Linked DNA regions of Cricetulus griseus. The protein of the gene in region 2 purifies or fractionates together with the protein of the main gene of each other region. This does not show direct contact. Links are inferred from orthologs where the notes say so. Each region holds a gene or a part of one and is shown on either strand. Other genes may lie near its edges. The genes, in order: Ap1m2 and Ap1g1.

Evidence for each region.
Region 1: the proteins of Ap1g1 (region 2) and Ap1m2 purify together in Homo sapiens (affinity purification with mass spectrometry; 4 studies listed by BioGRID and IntAct, counting the BioPlex papers as one, with this or other methods). This does not show direct contact. The link is inferred for Cricetulus griseus from reciprocal best matches to the Homo sapiens genes AP1G1 and AP1M2.

Annotation. Positions count from the first base shown.
Region 1 is NC_048597.1:134,160,375-134,164,190, forward strand, and holds part of Ap1m2 (AP-1 complex subunit mu-2), read right to left. Parts: intron 1,369-3,816; coding exon 1,238-1,368; intron 1,148-1,237; coding exon 1,000-1,147; intron 923-999; coding exon 796-922; intron 1-795. UniProt on the Homo sapiens protein: Subunit of clathrin-associated adaptor protein complex 1 that plays a role in protein sorting in the trans-Golgi network (TGN) and endosomes.
Region 2 is NC_048596.1:186,215,629-186,219,444, reverse strand, and holds part of Ap1g1 (AP-1 complex subunit gamma-1), read right to left. Parts: intron 2,639-3,816; coding exon 2,534-2,638; intron 1,709-2,533; coding exon 1,567-1,708; intron 1,376-1,566; coding exon 1,249-1,375; intron 1-1,248. UniProt on the Homo sapiens protein: Subunit of clathrin-associated adaptor protein complex 1 that plays a role in protein sorting in the late-Golgi/trans-Golgi network (TGN) and/or endosomes.

The DNA.
Region 1 (3,816 bases), on a different chromosome or scaffold from region 2:
GCTGAGCCAATTCTTCGGTTCCTTTTCTTTCTCATTTGTATCATTTCTGCTTTTGTTTCTTTTGTGTTGGTGTGATGTTTTGAGATGGGGTCTTATGTAGCCCAGAATGGCCTCAAACTCACTAAGTAGCTGAGAATTACCTTGAACTCCTGCCTCTACCTTCCAAGTTCTTGGATTACACTATGCTTGACTTCGTCTTTGTTTGTTTTTATTTTACATTGTGGTGCACTCGCGTGCGTGCGTGCATGTGCGTGTCTGTGTGTCTGTGTGTGCACACATTAATATGTATGTGCATATGTGTACATGGACACCAAAGGACAATACCACGTATCTTTCCTCAGATGTCATCCTCCTTGTTTTTTTATTTCTTTTCCTGAGACAGCATTTCTCCTTTGGCCTGGAACTTGCTGATTAGGCTAAACTGGCCCCCTTGGAATTCCTAGTGAATCAACCATCTGTCTCTGCCCACTTCTCATGACATTGAACTCTTAACCCTCCTGCCTCAGCCTCCAGAGTGCTGACATTACAGCATGGATTACTATGCCTGTCTCTGTGAGATGTTCAAATACTATTAACCTGTCTCCTTCCACTAGAATGTCAAGGCCAGAAACTGGCTTGGTCAGCAGCCAGCTCTCATTAACAAAGAAAGCATTTTCTAGGTGAACTTTGCTGCTGAGACACAAGGCTCAATTATCAGAGGGCATGTGAACACTTATCTTAGAACTGGCTGAAGCCTAGGAGGCCTCTAGTTGTTTTCTAGCCCATCCCTGGGAAGGGGATCCCCCACAATCTTACGGCCAGTAAGCTCAAAGAGCACTCTGTCATTGAGGCCCAGCCGCAGCTCTGGCATCCCAGACAAAAACACCTTCAGCTTGATGGTGCCCACAATCTCGCTGAGCAAGACACTGCCATTAGCATTGACCTGCAAAGGGGGTGTCCCAATATGGGGTGTCAACAGGTACAGAGTTCCCGCTCTTGCCCCCAGGACATGAAGCTCACCAGAAGGTTAACAGATTCTATGACATCAATGAAGACCTCGTTCTTTTTGTACTTGATCCCCTCAGAGCGCCATGACACAGCATTGGTGACTGTGGGTGGCACTCGAGACTTGCCCGTCTCCAGTTTGTTGCCCTGTTGTGTGATGTACCTATTGGAAAGAACAGTGAGACTCTACAGCTAAATCAGGGACACCTGGAGGGACCAGACTCGTGGTCACAGGCGCCCTCCCCGCACTCACTCCTGCAGGATCTTGCTGTCCGTGGTCTGCGGAAAGCCGAAGTCCATGAGCTCATCCAGCAGCTCGTACACAATGACAAAGTTATCTCGGATGCTCTCCTCTTCCAGCTCCTTAAAATACTCACAGAAGACCTGGGCATGGGGTCCCAGGGAACACACTCAGCCAGCCAGTAAGCAGTTATGGACCACCTACTGTGTGCCTGGGCTGCAAACAAAGAGACAGGCTTTCTCCCATGGAGCAATTTAATGAGGAAAAGTGATCATCAATCATATCCAACATGTCAGATGGGAAGGAGGAAAACAGAAGTGGAAACCCACACCTTGAAGAATCTTGACAGACAGCTAGAGAGGGTTTAAAATGGATTTTCTGGGTATGGGTGTGGTACAGGGATTGGAGGGAACAAACACCTGGCTACAGATCAAGACTACAAATGAGCCACTCTCCAGTCCCTCACTGGGGAATTCTATGCAGGGGCTTTACTGAAGAGCCACACCCCTGCCCTTCACTGGGGGATTCTATACAGGGGCTCCACTAAATAGCCACACTCCAGACTGTTTTTTGAGACAGGGTCTGGCTATGGAGCCTAGGATGGCCATTAACTTTCCATCCTTTTGCTATAGCCTTCAAAGCTCTAGAATGAGAGGTCTGATCCATCTTACATTCCCTAAAAATTTTTTTAAAAAGTGTGGAGGCCAGGTATGGTGGTTCATGTCTTTAATCCCAGCACTGAGGAGGAAGAGACAAGTGGGTCTTGCTGAGTTCAAGGCCAGTCTGATCTATATAGTGAGTTCCAGGACAGCCAAGACTAAATAGAGAGTCTCTGCTTCAACAAACAAAACAAACAAAAGTGTGGGCCTGAGAGATGCTCAGTGGTTAAGAGCACTGGCTGCTCTTGCAGGGAACCCATGTCCTATGTTCAATTCCCAGCACCAAGACACATAACTGTCTGTACTCCAGTCCTAGGAGATCCAACATTCCATTCAGGCCTCTATGGGTACTGCACACATGAGGTACACAGACATATATACAGGCAAAACACACATATACATAAAATTAAAAGTATGTAAACCTTCAATAAAGTGTATATCTTAAATATTTAAAAATCTGTGTTCTGGCTGGGCATTGGTGGCACACTCCTTTAATCCCAGCACTCGGGAGGCAGAGGCAGGCGGATCTCTGTGAGTTCGAGGCCAGCCTGGTCTCCAATGCAAGTGCCAGGATAGGCTCCAAAACTATACAGAGAAACCCTGTCTCGATAAAACAAAAAAACAAACAAAAAAAGTAAAACAGAATGAGTAGATGTAATTCTCTAGTACAGGAAAAACCAACATCAAAACAAAACAAACTAGAGAGAGATGGCTCAGCAGGAAAAGTCACTTGTTACCAAACCTGATGACCCTGGAACCCATGTGCTGGAAGGCCTGCTGTCCTCTGATCTGCACACCTATGCCTCATACACACACACACACACACACACACACACACACACTCACACACAAAAGAACTAACTGAATAAATGTAAAACATTCCAATATAAACAACTAGGTACACCTGTGATCCTTGGAGGTTCAAGGTCAGCTGGACTGCAGGAGAGGCAGTCCCAAGAGTACCTGAACAAATCAGACAGTCAGCTTCCTACTGTGGGAGGGATGCAAGAGATGCTACCACTATAGGATCTATAGGCCATTAATGGTTGCTAGGGATGGGAAGACATTGTGTGTGTGTGTGTGTGTGTGTGTGTGTGTGTGTGTGTGTGTGTGTGTTTGGGTGTGTGCGCGCGCGCTCCTGTCTGTGTGTGGTTTTCTGAGACAGGGTTTTCTTAGTAGCCCTGGTTGTCCTGGAACTTGCTTTGTAGACCAGATATCTGCTACCTCTGCCTCACAAGTGTTGGGATTAAAGGCCTGGGACACCACCATCTGGCAAAAACTTCTTTTTTTGAGACATGATTTCTCTGTATAAGAGCCCTGGCTGTCCTGGAACTAGCTCTGTAGAACAGGCTGGCCTCAAACTCACAGAAATCTGCCTGCCTCTGCCTCCTGAGTGTTGGGATTAAAGGCGTGCACCACCACCGCCTAGCAACTTTTTGCTTTAATAGCCTTCCAGAGCCTGCAGAGATGGCTCAGCCATTAGGACTGGCTGCTCTTCCAGAAGACCCAGGTTTGATTCCCAGCACCCACATGGCAGCTCACAACTATCTTTTAACTCCAGTTTCAAGGGATCCAGTGCTTTCTTCAAGCCTGCTTGGTTCACAGACATACATTCTAGCACACCCTTAAAAATAAAATAAATTTTTAAAAATTATCTTCTGCAAGGTGGTGGTGGCACACGCCTTAATCCCAGCACTTGGGAGGCAGAGGCAGGTGGATCTCTGAGTTTGAGGCCAGCCTGGTCTACAAATTGAGTTCAAGGCCAGCCAGGGCTGTTATACAGAGAAACTCTGTCTCAAAAAAACCCGGGGGGTGGGGGGTGGGCTGAAGAGATGGCTCAGAGGTTAAGAGCACTAACTGCTCTTCCAGAGGTCCTGAGTTCAATTCCCAGAAACCACATGGTGGCTCACAACCATCCATTACGAGATTTGA
Region 2 (3,816 bases):
AAAAAACAACTAGACTTTCATGAATGCTAGGCAGTCATTCTACCACTAACTGCATCTCCAATCCTGAAACTAATTGTAAATGACTCTAAAGGGATAAAACAAGTTGCTTTTAAAAACTGTGTTTAGATATAAATTGTGGACCAGGCATGGTGGTGCATGCCTTTAATCCCAGTATTTAGGAGGCAGGAGCAACAAGATCTCTGTGAGTTGAAGGCCAGTCAGGTCTACAAAGCAAGTTACAGGCCAGTCAGGGCTGCGCAGTGATATCCCACCCCCCACCTATCCCCACTACCCCTAGGTCTAGGTCTCACTCACACACACACACACACACACACACACACACAAAAAAAAAAAAAAAAAAAAAAAAAAAAAAAAACAGCAAACAAAATATATATGAGAGCTCTGCGTGCCTGCTGTGTTTAGGGAAATCATTTAGACCAGGGCAGGGAGCAGAGCTGTTCCATACTCTGGCTGTTCACTTCTCAGGACAGACAAGCTTCGAGTTCCTTTGTACTTATAAAGACACCAACTTTTCAGCCACACTTTACATGATAATGTAGGATAAAATTACACATCTCAGTGATACTCTTGGATACACCACTTGCAAATGGCTAGTGCACATAAGACAAGAAAGGCCATGGGTACTTTCTCCTTTGGTTGCTTTAATAAAAGAAGGGAGGGAGGATGGTAGGAAGTAAGTTAACCCATCACCACAAATACCCACAGCTGTTGAAAACTAACCATGAGCAGAAAGACATCTGGAGGTTTTGAGGCACCAACAAAAAGCAGAATTGGCTGGAAATACCTTTTTTTTTTTTTTTTTTTTTTTTTGGTTTTTTGAGACAGGGTTTCTGTGTAATTTTGGAGCCTATCCTGGCACTCACTCTGTAGACCACGCTGGCCCCAAACTCTCAGAGATTCGCCTGCCTCTGCCTCCAAGTGCTGGGATTAAAGCTTGTGCCACCATCGCCTGGCCATTCTTTTCTATTCTAAAAAAAGGAAGTCCTTTCTATCTTAAAATACTAGAAACAACCCATTCTTCCAAAATAAATTAGCCTAAGTAATCCCTCGGAATGACCCTCAAAGCATTAGCATGGCAGCTTACACCCCAGCTGTTGCCAGTTCCACCTACCCCTGCTTCTCAGGGATTCTTCTAGCCTCAGCTGACTCCTCTGGAAAATGCTTTCAGGAATTCCCCCAAGATCTCTACTCCTATCCAAACTGTAGATAATTCAAGTCTGGCCTCACCTGTTAGGGTGATGTCTCCCAGCAAGTCAAGAAGTTCTCCACCAGCAGAAGCTGGTTTGCTGGTGGGTACAGTTGGAATAACAGGTGTAATGTCATTTCCTCCCAACAAATCCAATAAATCATTGGCCTAAATAAGGAAATAACATCTTCATTCATAAATTATTTATCTAAAGTATATTTAACACTGTTTTTCCCATACTTAACCATTAAGAAAGGCAATTATCAAGCAATCAAAAAACACTAAGGGTTATCAGCTAAGAAATGAGCTTCAGGAACAAAAACATCACCAGGAGCCCAAGACAAGCAAGTAAAGACTACCTGGCTGGTGGGCTGTGGCCCAGAGGGTGGTGGTTTTGTCTCTAGTGGAGCTGGTTCTGTCTCTCCATTTGTCTGCACAATCTCAGAAGGGCCATTTGTGGTCACCTTTTCCATGACAGGCATTCTTTCAAGTAGGGCAGACCTAGAAGAATCTGAAGTGGTTACATTCTAGGCAGTTAACCTAGACTCCCTGCACAAAACAATAACCATTAATGATTAAATTTTGAAGCTTAGCAGGGAGAAGCACCTCCCCTCCCCATCCAACACACACTAAAGTAGAAGGCAGATTACAAGAATATATACATGACCTAAATTCTTAACTGGATTAAGAACAGGCAAGAAACCTTGAATAAACAAAATGTCCCAAATCCCCAAACCTGCTATTCAGTAACTGAGACTAGGATGAAGGAAGGTAAATCAACAGGTATTAGCAGACTTCGGCCATGAGCTGGGTATTATATAATAGAACGGAGGGGAGGGCAAAAACAATAACACCAAATGTTTGAAGTAATAGGATTTGAATAAAATTATTTCTCTTAAAAAATAACTGCCTTTTAATCAATAAAATGTAAAATGATACAAACTTTATATGGAGGGGAGCATGAAATGAAAAATACGCAATAATTTTTATTTATTTATTTTGAGACAGGGTCTTACCATGTAATTCTGGCTGACCTGGATCTCACTGTGTAGACCAGACCAGCCTTGAACTCAGAGACCCACCTGCCTCTGCCTCCGGGTGTTGGGATTGAAGGCAGCCACACCATACCCCACTCGATACATTTATTTCTTTGGTGGTCAGGCAGAAGAGAAAAATGGACAAAACAGAAGCAGCCAAGCAATGAGAACTAAGGAGAGTTACAAACTCAGTGAATGCCGAACATGCAATGTGTCTCCTTCACTGGCTACAAGGACAAGTTACTCAGAATGTTAAAAGTACATATACTGCTTGGTTTATTTTGCTCACCTCATATGGTCATATTTCTTAAAAAGTGCATTGTATTCTACTGCCCTCTGCTGGAGCTCTACATCGATGCTGCTTCCATAGATAGAAACCACTTTCTTAATTCGGCTGTAGGATAAAATGATAAATGAAACCAAACATTCAAAACACAAAGTTCATAATGAAGCATAGAAAATCTTAAAAACAGAATTTCCTGGTTAAATTTTTTAATTACCTATGTTTAATCCAGTAATAAAAAAAACAGAATAACATTGCCTTATCTCTATTCAGTCACCATTATACTATTCTAACTGTAATGATAGATTTCTAAGTATTTATTCCACCTTCTTAAACTTGCTAGAGGTTTGGGAACACAGCTTACTGGTAAAGCTACTGGTTTGTGAGGCCCTAAGTTCAATGCCCAGCAGAGGAAAAGAAGGAGAAGGAGGAGGAGGAGGAGAAGGAGGAGGAGGAGGAGGAGGAGGAGGAGGAGGAGGAGGAGGAGGAGGAGGAGGAGGAGGAAGAGGAGGAGGAGGAAGAGGAGGAGGAGGAGGAGGAGGAGGAAAAAAAAAACTTGCAAGACAAAAGTAACCATCATTTTGCCACAAAAGGAATTTGTACTATCCAATTCTCTTCCTTAGTTACTTTTTTAAAAATAAGGTTTTAGCATCAGCATGCTTGCCATAAATCCTTCCAATTAGCAATTTAAATACTAAAAAATTTACACTTCTCATGAAGCCTTACACTGAAAATGAAATAGCAAATCCAGAAAAACTTACTTTGGAAAATTGACTTACTCAAAATAGCACCAAGTAAAACTTAAAAGATTTAAATACACACGCACGCACGCTCCCAGCACCTGGGAGGCAGAGGCAGGCAGATCTCTGAGTCCCAAGACAGCCATAGTTACCTGGTATAAGATCTTGTTTCAAATAAACCAAAACAACAAACAAAAAAAGAATATAATAAACCAATAATTTAAGGGCAAATGTTAGAAACTGGACTATAAAAATGCAATTTTAGGGCTGGAGAGATGGCTCAGAGGTTAAGAGGACTGACTGCTCTTCCAGAGGTCCTGAGTTCAATTCCCAGCAACCACATAGTGGCTCACAACCATCCGTTATGAGATCTGGTGCCCTCTTCTGGTGTGCAGATATACATGGAAGCAGAATGTTGTATACATAATAAATAAACTCTTTAAAAAAAAAATGCAATTTTAGCTACAAAATAATCCTCAGTACGGTGAAGCAATGACAGAACAAATACAAACGAAATAAAGATTAACTACGAACTGATCATTCTGAGTC